Arabidopsis thaliana: one gene and its partners. The protein of the gene in region 4 interacts with the protein of the main gene of each other region in a pairwise test. Each region holds a gene or a part of one and is shown on either strand. Other genes may lie near its edges.

Region 1 (5,833 bases), on a different chromosome or scaffold from region 4:
TGCTTATTATTCTCTTCCTTTCACACATTTCTTTAATTATTTCGTCATTTAGACTCATTACCATTTTTATTTGTCGACTAGTCATCACCCTTTTGTATTCCGTAATGTTAATATTACTGTAAACGCCTTAAACAACGTTTGTAGTTCACAAATCATTACTAGACTACTAACATTTTCTTTATTTCAGTCAAATCAGCTGCTTTTTCTCAGGAGTATATAGTATATTTTTGTAAAGATTTTTCTGCATTACTAAATACGAGTCTTAATTTTAGTGTCGACTATAAAAAAAGTACTGTTGTTGTACTTTCTGACAAGAAAAGTAACATGTACTTACTGCCGCAACTTGTCAACCATCTGGTGATTTATTTCTCGAAACATAAATATTTATTGTATGGGGTCTCTGATGATCTGAGCAGCCATATTTCTGTAAGCCGTCGGCTACCTTTGAATTGTCGGTGCCCTTAAATGCCCACACACAATTAAGATCATCCTTTTAAAAAAAGCCCAAAATAAAATTATTTGGCCCAAGTAAAGAAGTGGGCCGGAAAAAAGGGGTAAGACGCTTCCGTTTATTGTCAACGAGTTTACGCAACCCAGATTTGCTTAGTGATCACATTTCTTTGCTGACCCGAATTATCTGCAATCGACTAAACCATGTCTAGGAGCATTTACTCTTAACTCTCTGTTCACCTAACTTAGGATTTCAAGAATGCTTAATCATATTAATGTTGTGGATTTATGTATTTTCAAAGTCGATTCATGAAAACTATTGAAGATTTGGGTTCTAGTTAAAGCAAAAAAAAAATGAATGCACGCTTATGTTTCTTGAAATCACTGAAAACCTGTTTATAAAATGTAAATTCATCATAATCACATATGGTGTGGTGTGTGGGCAACTTTAAGTCTTTAACTAAGAAAATCTAATGTTATTGATTGATCAAATCCCTTCTTGATTATGGAAAAATGTTCCACCTAAACATTAAGAAAACTCTACTTGAGATGAAATAAAGCAAAAGAACAGCCAGAAACAAGAAGACACATAGAGACCCCTAAACAACCAGAATTAGAAAAATAATCGATTCCATCAATCAGAAGCCACTTGACTCCCAGAGTTATCGCAGACCAGTTCGATCTTCGGCTTCTTTCTCTTTGTGCAATACCCCGTCGACGACAACCTAAGAAAGATCAAACCAACAAGTTTGTAGAATGCTCAGTAACAATAAAAGCTTGTAACAGAAGTTAGGGCTTTGTTTTGCAGTTTACCCCAACTGCAAGGAAGTGTCGGAATGGTGCTCCTCGTTGTCATTCTCATCCTCTTCTGATGAAGAGCTCTCGGGATCGGCTTCTGGGCTAGAATCTTGAGGCCTTTCATTCAACACTTTTGGTCCTGAACCTCTCCCCAACATCTCAACCTGAGGGCAAATTAGAATTGAACTCAGTTATGACTGGTGAAGACCAGACCGAGCTAATATAAGGGTTTTGATGAATCTTTACCTGTTTGCGCAAGATTTGGTTTTCTTCCAATGCTTTTTTCTCCTATTAATGACAAGGAAACAAAACAAGAGTGTTGAGATTCAACATTGTATACGAATTGATAATAACAATGATTCTGACATTTGAGGAGCTCTGTTCGTACCTGTATCCTGGATCTCTCAATCTGGTTGAGCAGGATTTGTGTCTGAATCAAAACAAAACTTTTCAAGACAGGGATGAATCAAAAATCATCTCTCGATGTTTGAATAAATTAGTATTTTGTCTTCACCTTTTGATCCTTGACACTATGCAAGCTCTCGTTCAACTGGTTTTCAAGAGAAATAAGATCCGGGAAACTCATACCTTCAAGCTCCTTACCCTTAAGTCTCCTGTTCACGAACAAGTAGAAAAAACCGATGAAAGGCCGAAACTTTAACCAAGAACAAACGCAAGTTCTTTTTCCAGTGAGATACATACTCAATTGCAAGCTGTAATCTTTCAAGTTCCCCCTTCATAGAATCATCATTTCGCAACTACAACAACGAATACCATGTAAGGTAAACCAAAAACTTGAACACAGACAAAGGGATACAAAAATAAATTCTTGGTAGAGAGTCTCTGCTTACCACAGCTTCATTTCCATGTGAAGCACAAATTAGAAGTTGGTGTTCTCTTTGTTGTTTATGCTCAGTGGACGCAGTAGTGTATCCATATCTAGAAAGAATTTGCTCCATACTTCACAAATTGAACAAAACTCTCCGTTAGTAAAACCCCGTAATTGGTTTGATTGATCATTACAGGAAAAAATCATGAATCTAAACTTCTGCATTCTCAAATTTCTTCATAAAGATAAGATAAACACTTCTATGGTCTAATAATCTTAGAAATTAACGATCTTTCAGAATTCTGGAGTTGAGATTCTAACAACTGATATATACATAGACAAATGCATCTCCCAAATTCTGATACCAAAGATAGTGACCAAATTGTAGTTTCATCAACAGTTAGGGTTTATAAAACACACAAACTAATCCGATAGCAAAAATCGTAATCTCAATTCTCCAAACCTTAAAATCATAACCCATCAAAATTATTTCATCATCAACCTAAAGATTTAGCCAGATTAGGATATAGATAAACAGGGGTTGCTCTGTTTTCATTTACTTTAGACACAAAAACCCATAAAAATGCAAAACTTTTTATTTCCCCAAAGCAAAAAAAAAGAAGCAAAATCATGAGATGATAACTAATATACCAGACGCTGGAGAAATCGTAAATCTTGCCGGTGCTGGAGAAGATGATAAGAGCAACCTCGGCGTCACAGAGAATCGAAAGCTCTTTAGCCTTCTTGATCAAACCGTTTCGTCTCTTAGAGAAAGTGACTTGACGACTGTTGATATTCTCAATCTTCTTAATCTCAATCCTTCCTCTCCCCATATCTCTGAATAACAAAATCAATCAACCTGGGCTCTGTGGAATGAAAAAAAAAACAGGGTAAAAGAAGAAGAGAAGAGATATAGAGAGAAGAGATTATGATAACAGAGGAAACAAGTAGAGAGATTTCTTAAGATTTTGTATATATAGGAGGAGGACTAGTAGAGGAAGGGGTTTTCTTTAGAAATTGATCAAATATTGGGAAAGGGGCTAAGGAAGGAAAATTAGGACCAAAATTAGGGTATTATATAAAAAGATGGGAGTTACTATAAGTAGCAATTTTCCATATTTGGTGGCTTTGCTAATTTGCTTTGCTTGGTGTGAGTGGCTGTTTTCTTCTTTTGGAACTTTCTTCCCATTTATAACGCCCTTGTTTTGGTTTTGGATCTCTTCTCTATTTCGTGTATCGCCTCCCTTTTTTTTTATCTTCTAGGGTTTTTCTTTTTTGGCTTTGCTTTTAGGTCATCATGCTTTTTATTACGTTTCTAAAACTTAATCTTCCATAATTTTATTGTTTTATTGCTTTACAGAAATGTTACTTTTTATATAGTCAAATAAAGTTGATCCCTATAATAAGGAAATATTTGATCAACTATTTCATTTTATTATAGTCTTTATTTTTAGTTGTTTTGGATACTGTTTTATTTAATAACTGATATTTTCATATCTTTAAAAGATTTATGAAATAACAACTACTGTGTTCTTTTTTTTCTCTTTAGCTTTGTTTTCTTGTTGGTTGAGATTTTGTTTCTTTTTTTTGGGTTGAGATCTAGTAGAATGGCCAAACGTGGCCGTATTTGAAGAAGAATATGATAAGAAAAGCAAAAGGTGTGGCTTTAACGTTTCTATAGATAGTAAAATCTCACAAGGAAGATTACTTTCCCCTCCAAACTGAGTTTGTTGTATTTTTAGTAAAAGAAAAATATCTCTTTCTAGAGAAGACTTTCTATTGTAACCGAAATTATATTTTGAGAATTACACTGTATTTGTGGAATTATCTAAACATTAGTAATAATAAATAAAATTAGTTCGGTTGTGAAATTTTGGTGAGCAAATATCTTTTTATAGATATGGAAAGTATTTAAGTAAATATAAATACATGCTATACAGCTCAACACTTTTGTTTTGCAATGTAAATAATTCAGATGCGTGTTTCTAAATGTAGTGTTAGGTCATTTAATCGTGCTCTTTTTGTTTTTGGTCAATATTCTCCCTTTTCCAAAATTGAAATTAAAACTAAGCTAGAGAAAAACAAATAATTTACTAAAAAAATATTTAGTTCCACTTTAACCAATGTGATTTACACATTCTCAATTCAAGATAAATCTTTAAATTATACTCCATAAAACTTTACACATTTTTTTTTAACACTTTACTATCTTTTGTTGTTGTCAAAAAAATAATATCTCGTATGAATCGCGTTGAATCATCTTTCGAAATTTATAAACTACCATCAAATACGAAAATAACGTGATTTCTTAAGATTTTGTTTTCTTCTACGAAAGGAACAACATTTATTTGTGGTGAAATTTTGTTATAGAAATTCCCATAAATGAATTAAAAACCCAAAGATATTTTAAAAGAAACCTCTTTGGGATATTACTCACATAAGGTTGGTTTATATACAAAATAAAAGAAAGTTCAATATTTTTTTTTCCCATTAACCAGACACTTCTGTAACATGCTAAAAAAGAGAATGAGCCACTTGTCGTAATTACATGCAAATCTGCAATTTGTTTCCATTTTACTTTTCTTCGTGCAGACTTCTAGATCAATTTTAATCATATTTGTTTATGAAAAAAACAATGAAATTTGATGATAATTATAACAAGCTACTCTATACAGTATAAATTGAAAATATATCGAATATATTCTTATCAAATAGAAACGGAAAAAATCTTAACAAATAGATTACTAAGCAAAATTTTTTTTTGTAAAACACACAAAATTGTAAAAAAGACGTATGGAGGAGGTATCATGAAAGATTAGCATGTTTGGGACTTTGGGCCTATAAAGCAAATAATATTTGGGCCCTTAGACCCAGTTGAATGTGGTATGAACTCAGTGGAAAAAGTGTGAAAAAAACTCAGTTTAGTTGGTATTCTCCGGTTAGTGATTTCTATACAGAACAAAAGCTTGTAAATTTGTGTCATTAGGTACGACACAAAAGAAAGTCTATGCATTCTCTGTACAAAATGTTTACATCTCCAAAATTATATTATACAATCTCAAACCCCGGTTTAATTGGTAACATCCGGTTTGTGACTGATATACACCAGTCCAATTCGCTTCATCGAGAAATCATAAGCACGAGACAACGGTTTCCTAAATCTTTTCAAATCAAGCTTCACGTTTTGGCGCTCAAGATAAATCTTCTTAGTGTAATCCCATCCTTTTTGAGTAAAACTCTTAGGATCTCGGATAATGGGATCATCGATGCCATATTCATCGTACAAAGAGCTCTCTTTCGGTTTAATCTTGTAACCAATGTACTTCAATCTCATCTTCTTAGCTGGTTTACCATAGTAAGTCTCAGCAGCCCATTCGGTTCCTATTGGTATAATCTGTATAAAGACTGTTTTCGGTTTCAAGAAAAGTAAATGTGTCATTGCAGCTCCGTGAACACCAATCATCACATCACTAGAATTCAAACATCTGTAGATTTTTGCCAGCTCTGTTGTTTTATCCGGTCTCAAAACATGGACGATGAATCCAATTTCCTCAGCTAATTCAACCAAAAGACTCTCATTTAGTATCTCCCTCGATCCATTTCTAGACAGAATCACCAATATTGGTTTCTTGAAACCGTCTTCTGTCTTGTTAGCTGCCTTGAGTTCTTCCTCTTGAATCAATCCATGGATACGTGGCCAATAAGCCTGATCCAGCACATTTCTGAAATCAAGAATTGTTTTATTCCCAAGCATCA
Region 2 (6,427 bases), on a different chromosome or scaffold from region 4:
TATGCCTTCATTTTGTGGAGCTAATCTGTGCTGGGAACTGGTGAGATTTTATGATTGGTCTTCCATTAGAAACTCTGGTTTTATCTGTGCCTGTAATCTTAAAATGATTCTCTGCGTGTGCAGCACCGAAGCTCTCAAATTTGGTAAGACAAGATTGGCTCCTTTTGGGAAGGTCAAAAAATATGTAGAAAAGCTTGAAGTAAGTCTGAATCTTGTTTGATCCTCCATTATATTCGTCTTGATGTATTGGTAGATTACTTGTTATGTTCTTCCAAATGATGGTAGATTTGTTTTTTCCTGAGACAGGACGTAATGGCATTGCTCGCTTATGAAGACCCTGAGAAATCCCCAATGTTCCATCTTTTGAGCTCTGAATACCGCCAACAAGTTGCTGATAATCTGAACCGCACAATTCTTGGTCAGTTCTTTTTTATTTTTACCTCCACGAAAATCTCTACCGTCCTGTGACCTTAGCAAATTACAAGTTTTAACTCATTCTTCAAATTATGTAGAACACACAAACCACCCGAGCTACACACCAATGGAAAGGATCATACAACAGGTGACAGTTGTGAGACAATACTTGACTGAGGAGAATGGCAAAGTAATCGTAGTATTTCAGTATTTTTACTCATATATCTGATTCGTTGTAGAAGCCCTGGGAATAGTAGGTGCCTGTGTTTAAACGCTATTTCATGTCTTATGATAGGATGCGTTTCCTCCATTCTCTCTGAAGGATTCTCTCAAAGGCTAAGATCGCAGGACTACTCCAAAGTTTGCTAGGAGGAGGATATGCTAAGCATTGTCATGTAAATACAAAAAGACCTTGCTCCTCTCTAAAGTTTGCAAGGTTAGTCTTCCATGGCCACAGGCGGGGTTTCAGTTTGCTGTTACAGGAGATCAATATTGTGAAGGACAGTTTCGGCTTGGTTTGGTTTGGTTTGGTTCAGTTCTCTACCAGAAGATTGTTTCATCAACTTTGTGTGAGTTTAGTCGATAAATCTGTAATCCATATCTTTGGAATACACATTTCTCTTTGTAACTATCGTTTATGTTTTGATAGAATACTTGCAAATTCAAGGTTTTATTTTTAGACATCACAATTCAAGACCAAATGAGACTTTTCAAGTAACCAAAATGAACAAAAGGCAAAGAATATGAATATGGTTAAACGACTACAGACTTGGACTAAGGACCCATTTCTAACCAAATGACCAAATCCAAGAACTTTTTAAGAGCTTAGGATCATACAAAGAGAAGATTGTAAACTACCAACAGACGAGAACAAAAGCTTCACTAACAACTTCTAAATCCGCAACTTCTAAGCTGTCTTGTTTTTAACTCTATAATGCAGTAAATCCCAAATCCATGAGCCTGCGATGAAAAAGAAGATTTTCCAAGAGTAACTTACTAAATTGGACATTAGCACAGTCTAGACTCAGTCTTTTGTCAAGGGAGTTTCACGATCAGGCGATGTCACACTCTCTTTCTGACCAGGAGAAGGCATGGGTCTTCTTAGCTCTGAAGCCCCGCTTTGTTGTTCCTGTTGTTGAAGCCGTTGCTGCTGCTGAAGCTGGTACAGTTGCTGCTGTTGAAAGTGAAATTGCTGCTGCTGCTGCTGTTGTTGTTGCTGGTGTTGCTGTTGTTGTTGTTGCTGTTTCTGTGACTGGATCTGGAGCTGCTGTAACTGTTGTGCGGCTAAGATAGTGTGCATCGACTGATTATTGGGATAGAATTGCTGGTTTGATCCAAAAGAACCGTAGTTCATTGATGTACCATTTGATGGACCTTGCCCCGTCAATACCTTAAGATGCTGGACTTCCTCCTTTAGTGCATCATTTAAAGCTGTCAAACAGATAAAGACGATTAAATCAAGTAGCAGCATTCACAACAAAGTGCAGCGAATATCTCGACGGGGGACAAATATTTATAGACTTTCTTAACCAGAGAAATGGCATTGAGTTTTGAAGGTGTATGTTTATGTGTTATTCAAGATTCTGGATCTGTATTTTAAGCTTTGTATGACCACAAACATGGCATACAATCTTACACTGACAGATCCAGAATGTGGTATGTCATATATACTACACCTTCGACAGTCATTGACAATGTTTATTTGCATTGATAGTAAAGAGATGAAGAAATATCAGCTCCTAGGAAGTATGTGAGAAAAGATCCTCACCATCCTGTAGGTGGACCTGTTGCTCCATAGTTTGTACTCGCAGTTTAAGCTCATTGTTTTCAACACCCAGGCCATTTGTATCTCTCTGAACACAAGGATGAAAAGAGAACAAGATTACAACCATAAACTTACAAATATCTTAGTCTAGAGTTAAATTTGGTCTCCAAACCTGTAAGAGAGTCAACTGGGCTGAGAGAGATGTGGCCTCTGTTTGTAAAGTCTGTACTTTTCTCTCGAGCTCTGCAATGTATCTCATCTTCCTTTCTTTTGACCTCGCAGCAGACTGCCTGTTTGCCCATATCCTATCAAATGATACAACATGTCACGCATCTTATACAAATTCATTACTAGTTACCGTAATTTACGAGTGAGCTACTTCTAGATGAAGGGTTATGTAAAACTCCAACAGATCAGTTCAGCCAAGCTTTATTCTTTTTAGTCAACAACCCTAGATAATGTTTCACCAAAAACTATACAACTTCTTAAAAACATAGAAGGAAAACTGTTCAGAAAAGAAAAAAATACCTCTTGGCGCGTTTTGGATCAATGAGAGCAAGCTCAGAAAGTTTAGCAGCAGAGATGGCTTTCTTAGAGTCAACTCCAGACACATCTTCATTCCCTGACATAAGCATCTCAGGCTTGATAGTTGTTGAACCATCCATCGATTGGCTGTGTTGGTGTCTAATTCTCGGTCTTTCACTAGAGCTACCGGGTGTACTCTGAAGGTTAGAAGTCGAGGCTAATTCATTCCTCCAAGTCGGTTCTGATGGCTCACCCATTTGAGAAGTCGATGTAGCAGAAGAATTGAATTTTTCCATATCAAGATACATATAGAGTAAGTCCTCGTCAGTATCATCAGAGAAAGAAGGTCCATCAGCAGCACCAACCACACCAAGATCACTATCAAAGCTTAAGTCATCAGGAAGAGTAAGAATCTCTGAATGAGCTCGGCGATGGCCTAGGTTCTTAGGTGGATTATCCGGCATTCGGCTAATATCATGGCTGAATCGGTTAGCATCTGAGCTATTGCTTCCACTTGGAGTCAAAGGAGGAAAAGATGATTCAGCTTTCATTGCAAAGCTACTTCCATTAGGTGAAAACGCAGAGTAACGACCCGATGGTGGAGGAAGACCTCCACTAGGTGGTGGTGCAGGAGATTTCTCCTTATCCATTTCAAGAACTTGACCTAAACCCACTAATCTGCATACCATTTATTCCCGAAAAAAGATAGATTATATTCCATACTAGAACAGATTAGGGTTTCATCTTTAGCTATCAAATTCATTTGAAACAATCACACGCTTTATCTCAGCGATTATATTCCATATTAGAACAGATTAGGGTTTCGTCTTAGCTATCAGTTTCCTCAACTAAGGAGATACACAACCCTAAAACAATCACACGCTTTATCTTAGCCTTAATTCAAAACGAAAACCCTAAAATAAGTAAAAAGATAGGATCTTTTGAGTTTTCACGCACTTACAGAGATCTAATGAGAAGCCTCCAGAATCCAAAGCAGAATGTCCAAAGAGAGATCAACGAGACACAAAATTAAAGGTGAAGAAAACTTGAAATTTGAAAAATCACTAAATCAGAGAGATCCGACGAGAGAGGAGGAAGAAGAAGAAGAAGAAGAAGAAGAAGAAGTAGAACATTCTCTCTCCCATTAAAGGATCCTTCGAACTAGTGTGCATCAGAAGATTTACGGCGTAAACGATGTCGTTTAAACGTAATTTGGTTCGGGTAAGTGGTACTTTTGTCGGAATTAGGGTGTAATCAGCTGCGTTAGCGTGTTGCAATGAACGATGTTACTGACCGTTGGATGATGATCAATATGTCTGGTTGGTTCGTGAAGAGCGTAAATAAATTATTTTTGTCAAATTGGTTCACGTGGTTGCTAATTTTTGGTTGGACCGTCGAGAGTTGCTTGCGAATACTACTACTATTTTTGATGACTTTCTAATTTTTCTTTTATAAGAAAATACTAACCAGGAAGTTATAACCATGTGATATGTTTTCAATATTATTAATGCTGACGTACGATTTCTTTCAATCATATGAAAATCTAATATTTTAAAAGAGAAATGAAAGAGTTTGAAACCATTGCAATTTCAGTTTCATAAAATATATGTTTCTTACTATTTGTATTTGTCAACGCTCTTATAAGTACTGTGATTGTTGTTGATTTCTGGATAAGGGAGCATGGGGACTAATATTCTTTGAAAATAATCTAGAGTGGGCCATCGTTTATGGGCCGCATGGTAAAAGATAGGGCCCATAGTACTACTACCCATCACACTTGACCGACCTCTCTCACCCATTGACAATTGAATGGGCGTGTTTACTCCTCTCAACAACCTCGTCTGGCCATACTTCAATTCAATTCCTAAAATTATGGGATTTGCAAATTATTTGCTAGAAATATTTTCATTCTACCAAAAAATCCGGATATTCGTAATAATCAAAAGAAAAATAAGTAGTAAAATATATAGTGTTTTTTACAGTGAATTTTTCTGCATATATTCTCACGTGACCTTGTTGGCTCTATAGTCACAAGTTAAGCCTTAGGGGGTACCCATAACCCATACGAAATAAGGCAGCAATATGATGCCAATTGAAATGGTCAGGCAAGTATATATACAATTATGTTACTCACAAAGGATTCTCAAATGAAAAAAAGAAAATGGTTGAAAAGTTCCATTATAGATATGTAGTTTTATAGCAGAGTACGTAATGTAGTTTTCTACAAAATAGGTGTTATTGCACAGTTTTAGGGTTTGGTATCGTCATATATTGTTCGGCTTTTTTCTTACTTGGAGAATTTAATTGGACCTACATTTCGCTTTCGTATTAAATAATTCTAAATACTTACTATTTTTCTGGTTGACGGGGATGTAAAATTTGAGTCTACACTCTAGAGTCTGCTCGTGCATGTCGGGTTTATTTGTATTCATGTTACTTTTTAGTTGCTTCATATGTTTCTGTAGTTATAGAAAAATGCTTGTTTTCATGGTAGATCAAAGATACATAAAACAGTAAAACTACCTGCTCCATTATGTACATAGAACAGCGTGTCCATTTTTTTGTGGAGATCAAGATGATTAACTAAAAGCAAGAAAATCAAACACTAAGCAAATTGAGATGTCAAAATGGTAACCAAGATTGACTGGACCATATGTTATTTAGCTAGTTAAAGCATAAACGAGAAGCAAGACCATTATTAAGTACGATACACTAATTAATTAGTAACATTGTTAGAAAGGTGCACACAAAAAAAAGTAACATTGTTATTTTTCTTCTGACCTTACCCAGACTTGTTCAGACATCAGGTTTTTACCAACAACCTATTGGGTCTCAGGTTATTCTTTGAGTCCGATTTTTTTTTTATCGTCATAAAAATATATTTGAATTCCTTTCATTACTTGTCAGGGAAAATAATAATGATGACAAAAGATCATATGTTTTTTTTTTACTTTTGCATATTTTTACTTCAATGTTTTTATAGTCCAGTAAAAAAGTAGCAGTGGAGGTTCGAATCAATGGCGAGGCATGGCCTTGAATGGTGGCAAAAGAGAAAGAACCGGATTGGACACCGACCCACATCAGATTTGTCATTAGGATCCCAGAAACAGAGGAAGCCTCATTGAGATCTGTGATTCGTCATTTACTACTTTTTATGTTGTAATTAACCTTAATAATAGGTTAATATATATAAAACAAAATTTGTGTTACTGGTGAATGGTAAAGAAACAATGGGTCGGACCCCTTGTGGTTTTTGCAGGTGCATCATTGACTTTTTGGTCCCAAATCTAATTAATGTCTTCTGTAGTTATGACGTTGAATCTATCACACTGTGGCCTGTGGGTTCTCTTACAATCTACGAAATAGTTCTTTTGTAGTCTATAGGGTTTATACATTCTATTATTTTATTTTCAAATCTCCTAACTTATATAAGTTATAAGTGAATTCAACTTTTAAGTGAATTCAATTTTTAAGTGAATTCATGGAGTATAAGTTATAAGTGAATTCAATTTTCTTTAACTTATAACCTTTCTGAAGTTTTTTTGAACCAAATGATTTTTAAAACTGCTAATATATTATAATGCCCGATAATTTTAGATGAACAAAAATGCTAGTTATAAAACATCGATAAAGAAATCAGCTGAGATAGACAATATTTGCCGTTTCATTAATTACTTTGCATGTATGAATAAATTTCACAAGAACTCGATTTTTTCTTTCTAA
Region 3 (4,555 bases), on a different chromosome or scaffold from region 4:
TTTTTGGAACATTAAACTAATAGTGATATTTCTTACAACAAAATTTGAATGTGTGGCATTTTATAGAATTTTTCTATAATCAGTAATTGTTATACTATTTCCTATTACTAGAGATGGGGAATATTGATAGGATTGTTAATTATTATTCCAAATCATCAGATAAAAAAAAAATCAAAATTAACATTAGTTCATTCAAAAGTTTACAGGTTTGTCTTTAGTGAATAATTGAATATTAAGATTAGATTTTACAGGTTAAAATATTATAAAGAAATCTATGAGTTGATTTAATATGTCATTACCATAATACTATTTACCGGCTAAATTTTGATTACAATGCACTTGGTCATGACCCATACGCAAGCAAACCCAAAAGTTATGACAGATCGTTCTGGTGACCTCAACTACCAAAACAATAATGTGATTATGTGACTACTTTTTTTACCTAAAACGTTTTATCGGACAAAAGTTCTAGTTACAGATGCATCTCATTGCAAAAAAAAAGTTCAAGTTTCTGCATATTTAAATCTTTTTTATTCAATTATTCTTAGATAATTCCCTTAGAAAGTCACAAGAAAATCCATAGCTACTTTAAATCATGAATTAAAAATATATGTAAAATAGCACAAAAATTCTAGAAGTTGCCACCTAATCCGAAAGAAGTCAAGATTTTCATTACACTACCTGACCATCTTTTTCAGTTGTGGTCTATTTGAAACAAAATTAAAACACTTTAACTTATACTCCATTATTATAGTTAGCCATTTAGGTGGCTCCTAATTAATGATTAACAAAAATAAATTATACTACTATATAGAGTCGCTCCTCAATACTCATGGACTCATATATTACAGAACAATAAAAAGAACTGTCTTTGTATATTGTTATGAGCAATTGATTATGACCATCTTACACTATTTGTAGGCTTTGTGCAAAAAAATTATTATGTTAACTTAAAACATGTTTGAATACTCTAATAGCACATGCTTAAAGACAATCCTCATTACGATAAATAAGAAAAATGAGAGTTTTCTTACTAGTTGAATAGTAAGAGACAAAGACTTTTACACTAACTTGAAATTGATAAAGTCAAGTATCACAAAAATACATACAAACTGTTTTCGATGTTTCTCAATAGAATCAAATATTTAAGCAAACAAAAAACATATTAGGGTTAAAATTAATCAACCACTTCAAACTTAAGGTCCCTAATACAAATCCTAATCTTTCACCAAGTCCCACTATTTTCAGAAGACCCCAAAAGCTCCTCAAGGTACTGTTCTCCCAAATCCTCAAAGACAACTACATTATCTAACTTCACGGAGCGGTGATCAAAGTCACTATCTTTCGTCTTCTTATTGGTCATTCTCCGTCTCATCGAGTGTTTCCTCTTCAACGCCACAACCGGAGAACAACCATCCTCGTAGGTATATTTAATCTCCGAAAGCGACTCTTGAACTCTCTCCGCCGAAAAATTGAGAATCGCCGAGGACCCTCTCATCGAGAAAGCAGCTTGATCGTAGGCTAAAGCCGCCTCTTCCGCGCTTTCGAACGTCCCGAGCCAAACCCTAATACCGTTTCTAGTCGAATCTCTTATCTCCGCCGCGAATTTCCCCCATGGCCGTCGTCTTACGCCTCTGTAAGACTTCTCTGACTTTCTTGAGCTTACGGATTTGATCGGAAGGTCTTGACTATCCGAGTCAATATAGGTTTGTTGCGTGGACTGCTCGATTAGACCGTAGAGAAACATTTCCTCTGAGTCGTTCTCGTTGAAGGGAAGAGAGTAATTGTTAGAAGAAGAGGATGAGAAAGAATCTGGAGAAGATCCGATAGAATATTCCGGTGAGAAGCCGGAGAATGGGGACTGAATTAAAAATGGATCCATGTAGAAAAAATACTCTGTTTCTTGACTACTCTGTTTTCGGTTAGGGATCGTTAGTGGATTGACATGGTCTATATATATAGAGAAAAAAATGAGTATGTATATGCAAATGTCCAAATTAGACTTGAGTTTTTACTGTCTCAGTGAAAGACAAATGTCATGTAATAAAAGGGTGAAATGGGAATTTACGAAAAATAATGTTACACTCAAATGAAAAACTATGTTGCTTCGTCGAAGATTCGAGCAAAGACGTTTTGCATATTTCTTCTCTTCGTGTGATATTTAATGTTTTCGTAATATATGAATTGTTTTGTACCGTTTAAACTAATCTTCTTACTGTCGTGAATCGTAATTACGTGAGACTAATATGAAACTGTATATTATGTAATTATCCCAGAATTGGTATGTATATTTAGGTATATATTCTTCAAATGTAGAATGAGCAGTGTAGGTTAGGTATATCATTTCGTATTATCATCACATGATTCATCGAAATTTTGTCACTTTTGCATCATATCACATTTCTTAGTTTAAATATAATTTATTTTTCTTTTTATGACGGTAAGGTTTATGAATCATGTACGACCTAAAAAAGATTAACCACATATGAAAACAACTAAAATGTTATATTTTGTAGTATATATCAGGATTACTTTGGTGTACCCAAGATATTATATTTTATAAGTGAAAGATTTATGATGATGTAAAAAGTTTTAGAAAATACTGATTTGATGCTATTTGATAAGTTTTATCAACCTACATGCCACATTCAGATCAAATTGAATCTAGAAGAAAATAAGATGGCGATTTTAGTAGAAAACTAAAAATCAGTTGACTAAAATTTTTATAGATAATTTTGATATGCAAATAAAATTCCCATCTTATAATTTCTAAGTGGACTCCACTTATTTGATCTAAAACAACTTATGAATAAAACAAATAACTGCGAAAGTTCACATTTCACGAACAGAAATAACAAGATCGATGTGAAAATGATTAAGCCATATTCCAAAATAACTGCTGGATCAACTCAACAAAACATTTTCATGCTTAGGTATTGCAAATATGATTACATAAAATATCAAATCATTATCCTATAATCTTAGGAAGCTATTATTAATTATTATTAAAGAAAATCTTTTGGCCAAAAGCATGGTTAAAGAAAATTGTTGGTTGGAAGGATTCAAGATACATGCCCCCTTGAATCCCAAACAACAAATAATTTCGAGCCATCTCATGTTTAGAAGATAATTTGGCTTTATCTGCTTTCAACTTCTTTCTCAAACAAAAAAGATACTTCATGTGCCATTTTTTCATTTTTTCTAGTTTCCTTTGTTTTTTTCTTCACTATTTCTAGTTATCTTATAGTAGAAATATATTTCAAATTTGGTGCAAATTATAACCAAATTATAACTCTTAAATTATATGAGTTACCTAATATTTTCTTAAACATTATCCCAATTACATTATTTTAAGTCATCTAATTAGTTGATCAAATTTATAGTATTATCGGAAAACAACATATAAATGTTCAGAAAACTGATGACCCCTCTAAAATCCTGGCTAGTTTGATCATAAACTATCTTTCAACCATCCTTAGATATTTTTTTTCTTTTCCAAATGTTGAATCGATTATCCAAATCTAGCAAATTTAATAATTCTTCAAAAAAAAGAATTTCCTAGTTTTTCTCACATCTTTTCTGTTTTAGTTATTTACATTTACTTTTATTTTGTCAATAGTCATTTAAAACAATGTAACAAAAGTAGGAGGTGTTGAAAATAATTATTCGAACGGATACGCAACTAAATTCTATTAGAACACTACACATCATCACATGCATCCTGAGTCCAGTAGGACACAAAATTATTTATTCTTTCTTAAGCCCATCCAAAACTATGCATAACTGATTATTTGATATCCCGCACGTGTTCAAAGTTTTTGGCTCTATTTTAAACTTCAAACCTGGACATTGTATCTCTTTTGGCTTTACTTTAAACTTCATTTTTTTGTGGTAAAATACTTTAAACTTCTTACACGTACCGAAAATGAATAAATTAATTGATTTCAATATTGACATCAGAAAAGTAACCCAAGAATAATTGCTTTTGATATCAGTTGCTAAATGATTTCCATAAATTGACACAAAAAATAATAATATAATTATTCGAATAATTACTAATACTTCATATAAAAATAAACAAGTTTTCTAAAATGATTTATATTCCTCAATATTTTCCCTTCGGTCAGTGGAAGCTCCAGAATTTCAATTCTTAGTGATTCAAATTTTTATATGGAAATAGGCAAATATAAAAAGATTATTTATAGTCAAATCAAAAAAGAAAGAAAACAAAGTCCAGTAAGCATTCAAATTTGACTAAGGTGTTAGGCGTAAGGCGATAGCTACACATTCATGGTACGTGGTCATATTATTTGTATATTTTCTAGTCATTTTTATGATTTTATAGTCATATCAGTTAAAAAAATTTAATGTATTTACATGATTTTCTTAAATTATTTATGTATAATCGGCAACATTTTCTGTCGTTCGGAAAATCCATTTGGATTTGAAACAAAAGAATTTCTGGACTCAAATCAATTTTTTTTTCGAGTGAATGAAAAAATTAAAACTTGAGTCATGATATCAATTCTATCTAAGAAATAACAAAAATATCAAT
Region 4 (3,848 bases):
GCATGTCTATATGTGTCATAGAAAAGGTTTGGTTCCAACACACAGATATAGGGAAAAGAAGACTTGGTTTGATGGAAAAGTTGAACATAGGAGAAAGACAAGAATTTTAACTGGTCATGAAGTTTATCAAAATCTGAAAAACTTCAAGAATGATTTTGGAAATGTGAAAAAATCTGGGATGAAGAGAAAGAGAACTGTCTATAAAGAACCAGTCTATGATAGTGATGATGTATCCAGTGAATCCGAGGAAGATGAGGAAGTAGAAGTAGATGAGGATGAGTTATCTAGATGGAAGAAAAGATCAATCTTCTTTACTTTGCCTTATTGGGAGGTATGATTACTTGTTTTCAGATTTAAATAGCTTTTATATGTTTAAGTATGATACATCAATTACTTCTAAAATATATGTATGTCTATATTGTAGGATCTACTAGTAAGGCATAATTTGGATGTAATGCATACAGAAAAGAACGTGGCTCACAGTATTGTATCCACATTGTTGCATTGTGGAAAATCTAAGGATGGTCTTAATGCACGTAAGGATCTGCAACATCTTGGTCTACGACACGCTTTGCATCCTACCACACAAGGAAAGAGAACATATGCACTTAGCTCCTGTATTGCTTTATTTTGTGCTTGAGACTTTTCTTATGTATTTTGGATCTAAACTTATGTTTAATCAATGGTCAATGTATGAGATTTTATAAAGCAGGTTATGTGTTATGTGTACTATAATCACATCTCAGAAAATGCTATAAGAATACAGGTAATAGAATATTTAACATATGACTAATGCTATGTTTTAATCATCTATCGTAGCTTATAAATTGATATAAGAACATAACATAGCACATAATTTGACTAATTATTTTCCAATTGAAAAAAGGCAAACCACGATAAAACAACATTTCGCAACAGCTATATTAGAGATATATAACATAGCACGAAAAATCAAATATTATATAATTTTTTTAAGAAAATTAAACGTGATAATACAACTGTTCTTTATAGCTATGTTATTAAACTATAACATAGCATACTGAACTCACGCTACTGTATGTGAGGTACCTATAATAACAATGCCCTAAAATAGCGTTCATGAAAAAGTTATTAAAGACATATTATAGCATTTTTCTCGTGATAAGAATGTCCATTGTAGTGTAAAAGACATAAAAAATAACATAATACACATAAAGACACTAAGACTTCTAAAATTCAAAAGACTCACTTGGACACTAAATGCAACAAAACTCACAACGAAAAATACTATGACAAAAATCATATCTTTTATATATTCAAATTCATTATTATATTTTCCAAAATATTGAAACAAACGAGATCCTATGTAGAATGGGATAACGCAACAAACATCAAATTACGTTTTTTAACCATAATTAATATTCATAAATACTTCTTAATCATTAATACAAATATTTTTATTAATATCATAATTAAACATAATATATCATGTTTTCGGTTAATCCTCTAAATTTGCTATGATTAGTTTCTATGAATTGATGAATTTCTCTGCGTATCAACATGTCTCACTCTCTAGATATCAACGATTTTAACATTGGATGAATTATTGTCAAATTTATTAATTCGATTGCAAAATTACATTGAAATATGATATAATAAATTAAATATATAAAATTACAAAATAAACTTATTAAATAAAATATATTATAATTATAATTTATGATATAAATTAACAAACTAAAATTTCTACACATATTTCTCCACGATGTAGAGTGTGGGTTCTTATTTAATGATCACTTATAAAGGAAAACGAATGAGGGACAAGTCAGTACTTAATTACTTTAGTTAGTTATATTTTAAACAATAGACATGTCGAATCTTTTAAGTTAAATGCATATAATGGATCGAACTTGGCGCTCAAACGTATCCAATCTTTTAATTAAAGTTTAGCCGCATCACTCTCTCTCTCTCTCTATAAGTTCATTCTAGGGAAGGGAAGCATCCAAACTTGGTTGCGACAAGACAAATGCTAAGGATAGATTTAAACTAAAAGATATGAAAATTTTGTATTAAACATTGTATTTTTTTTTACTGCGTATTAAACATTGTATAAATATTTTTTTTTAATATAATTTACCATAAATTAAAATAAAAAAGGGTTTACGTGTATAAATCTAGGTTACAAAAATAAACAACTCAAGTTAACTATTATTGGGTTTAAATTATATAAAAAAACCAAAATTTTAAAAACCTTCTCGCAGTTTCTGCTCTCACTTCCAATGAACAAGTTATATATAAAACACTAACAATATTTTTGTTATGACTAAACTCTTTCCATTTCTTTGTCCATGTTCCACCACTATAAATTACGAATTATAGCATCGCATTTTTTCTTCTTATTCTATGCTCTTATAATCCATAGGACCCACTTCTACATGATTCTCCTACAACCCCATTATAAAACCCTTGGTCCACTTCCTCCTCTTACTTCAAAACTAACTTCCCAATTCTTCACACAAAATAAAAACACAGAAACTCTTACATACTCATATAAACCAAACTAAAACCATGATTCCGGCAGAAATCAACGGATATTTCCAATATCTATCACCGGAATACAACGTAATAAACATGCCTTCATCTCCAACCTCTTCCTTAAACTACCTAAACGATTTGATCATCAACAACAACAACTATTCCTCATCATCCAACAGTCAAGATCTCATGATAAGCAACAACTCAACTTCCGACGAAGATCATCATCAAAGCATCATGGTACTCGACGAGAGGAAACAGAGAAGGATGCTTTCGAACAGAGAATCTGCAAGGAGGTCAAGGATGAGGAAACAGAGACATCTTGATGAACTCTGGTCTCAGGTAATAAGGCTTCGCAACGAGAACAACTGTCTTATCGATAAGCTGAACCGCGTATCGGAGACTCAAAATTGTGTATTGAAGGAGAACTCTAAACTCAAAGAAGAAGCTTCTGATCTCCGACAGCTTGTTTGTGAACTGAAATCTAACAAGAACAACAACAATAGTTTTCCAAGAGAGTTTGAAGATAATTAGTATTACTCAAAGTGTCCAACTTTATCAGACAAAACGTAATCTATTAACACAATCAAAAGCAGAAAATTTTGGTTTTTATACCTTGGAGAGTGTTCTGTTCTATACAGTGACTTTGAATCCGTTCTTCAATATATTCATTGACATGGACTTTCCCATGATTCCCAAACCCATAGAAAACCCTACTTCCATTTTATCTATCTTCTGCGATTATAGACTTATAGTGCTTACTGCTTAGTGATAATGGTCTAAAATAATGAGACATTTCTAATCAGGGAGCCATTATCATCAAATACTTACTTGAAAAGGAAGTATTTACAGTTTACTCCCTAAACTTTGATTCTTTTTGCATCTCTAACTGGCAGTTTAAGAACGAACAAGATTTCGCCACGTGATTGAAATTTGGCTAAAACTCCAGTGTCATTTGGAATCTTATTTTACTCCAGTCGGGCACGTTAGAAGTTCTCAATCAAATTTATTTGCGGAGTACTAATCTGAATTTACAAAATATTATTCATTTTATCTGATAGTTTATGAAATGTCAATTTAGTCCATGCTTCTAATCTATTGACAATTTTTTTTCCTTCTTCTATATATATATTTTTTTTTTTTGGTTCTGGGCCGAAATCCGTAATATTAGTTTTGCCTAGAGTCTTTACCAATTAAGCTAACGACACTTAACTCTTTCTTTCTTCTATTCTTGTGCTTCTACAATGGGAAGATCAACGTAAACATATTATTACTAAAGTTTACATACGATAGTAAACATAACTATAATGGGAAGTGCAAGTGTTTTTAATTTT

What was found.
Region 1: the proteins of bZIP48 (region 4) and AGL18 interact in a two-hybrid assay, tested with the Arabidopsis thaliana proteins (one large-scale study listed by BioGRID).
Region 2: the proteins of bZIP48 (region 4) and AT1G06070 interact in a two-hybrid assay, tested with the Arabidopsis thaliana proteins (one large-scale study listed by BioGRID).
Region 3: the proteins of bZIP48 (region 4) and ERF1 interact in a two-hybrid assay, tested with the Arabidopsis thaliana proteins (one large-scale study listed by BioGRID).

Annotation. Positions count from the first base shown.
Region 1 is NC_003074.8:21,230,987-21,236,819, reverse strand, and holds AGL18 (AGAMOUS-like 18), read right to left. Parts: upstream 3,349-5,833; 5' UTR 2,911-3,348; coding exon 2,729-2,910; exon of another isoform or gene 2,209-2,728; coding exon 2,100-2,208; intron 2,007-2,099; coding exon 1,951-2,006; intron 1,863-1,950; coding exon 1,763-1,862; intron 1,679-1,762; coding exon 1,637-1,678; intron 1,537-1,636; coding exon 1,495-1,536; intron 1,413-1,494; coding exon 1,264-1,412; coding exon of another isoform or gene 1,260-1,263; exon of another isoform or gene 1,176-1,259; coding exon 1,085-1,175; 3' UTR 842-1,084; downstream 1-841. Other genes in the region: AT3G57380 (Glycosyltransferase family 61 protein), read right to left, coding at 5,148-5,833. UniProt on the Arabidopsis thaliana protein: Probable transcription factor involved in the negative regulation of flowering, probably through the photoperiodic pathway. Prevents premature flowering. Downstream regulator of a subset of the MIKC* MADS-controlled genes required during pollen maturation.
Region 2 is NC_003070.9:1,833,763-1,840,189, forward strand, and holds AT1G06070 (Basic-leucine zipper (bZIP) transcription factor family protein), read right to left. Parts: upstream 3,997-6,427; 5' UTR 3,666-3,996; intron 3,383-3,665; 5' UTR 3,355-3,382; coding exon 2,708-3,354; intron 2,485-2,707; coding exon 2,352-2,484; intron 2,268-2,351; coding exon 2,183-2,267; intron 1,846-2,182; coding exon 1,439-1,845; 3' UTR 1,067-1,438; downstream 1-1,066. Other genes in the region: AT1G06060 (LisH and RanBPM domains containing protein), read left to right, coding at 1-40, 124-199, 307-418, 513-604, 710-754.
Region 3 is NC_003074.8:8,293,032-8,297,586, reverse strand, and holds ERF1 (ethylene response factor 1), read right to left. Parts: upstream 1,971-4,555; 5' UTR 1,883-1,970; coding exon 1,226-1,882; 3' UTR 983-1,225; downstream 1-982.
Region 4 is NC_003071.7:1,329,372-1,333,219, forward strand, and holds bZIP48 (basic leucine-zipper 48), read left to right. Parts: upstream 1-2,547; coding exon 2,548-3,048; downstream 3,049-3,848. Other genes in the region: AT2G04137 (phosphogluconate dehydrogenase (decarboxylating), NAD-binding domain protein), read right to left, coding at 2,812-2,991, 3,154-3,237.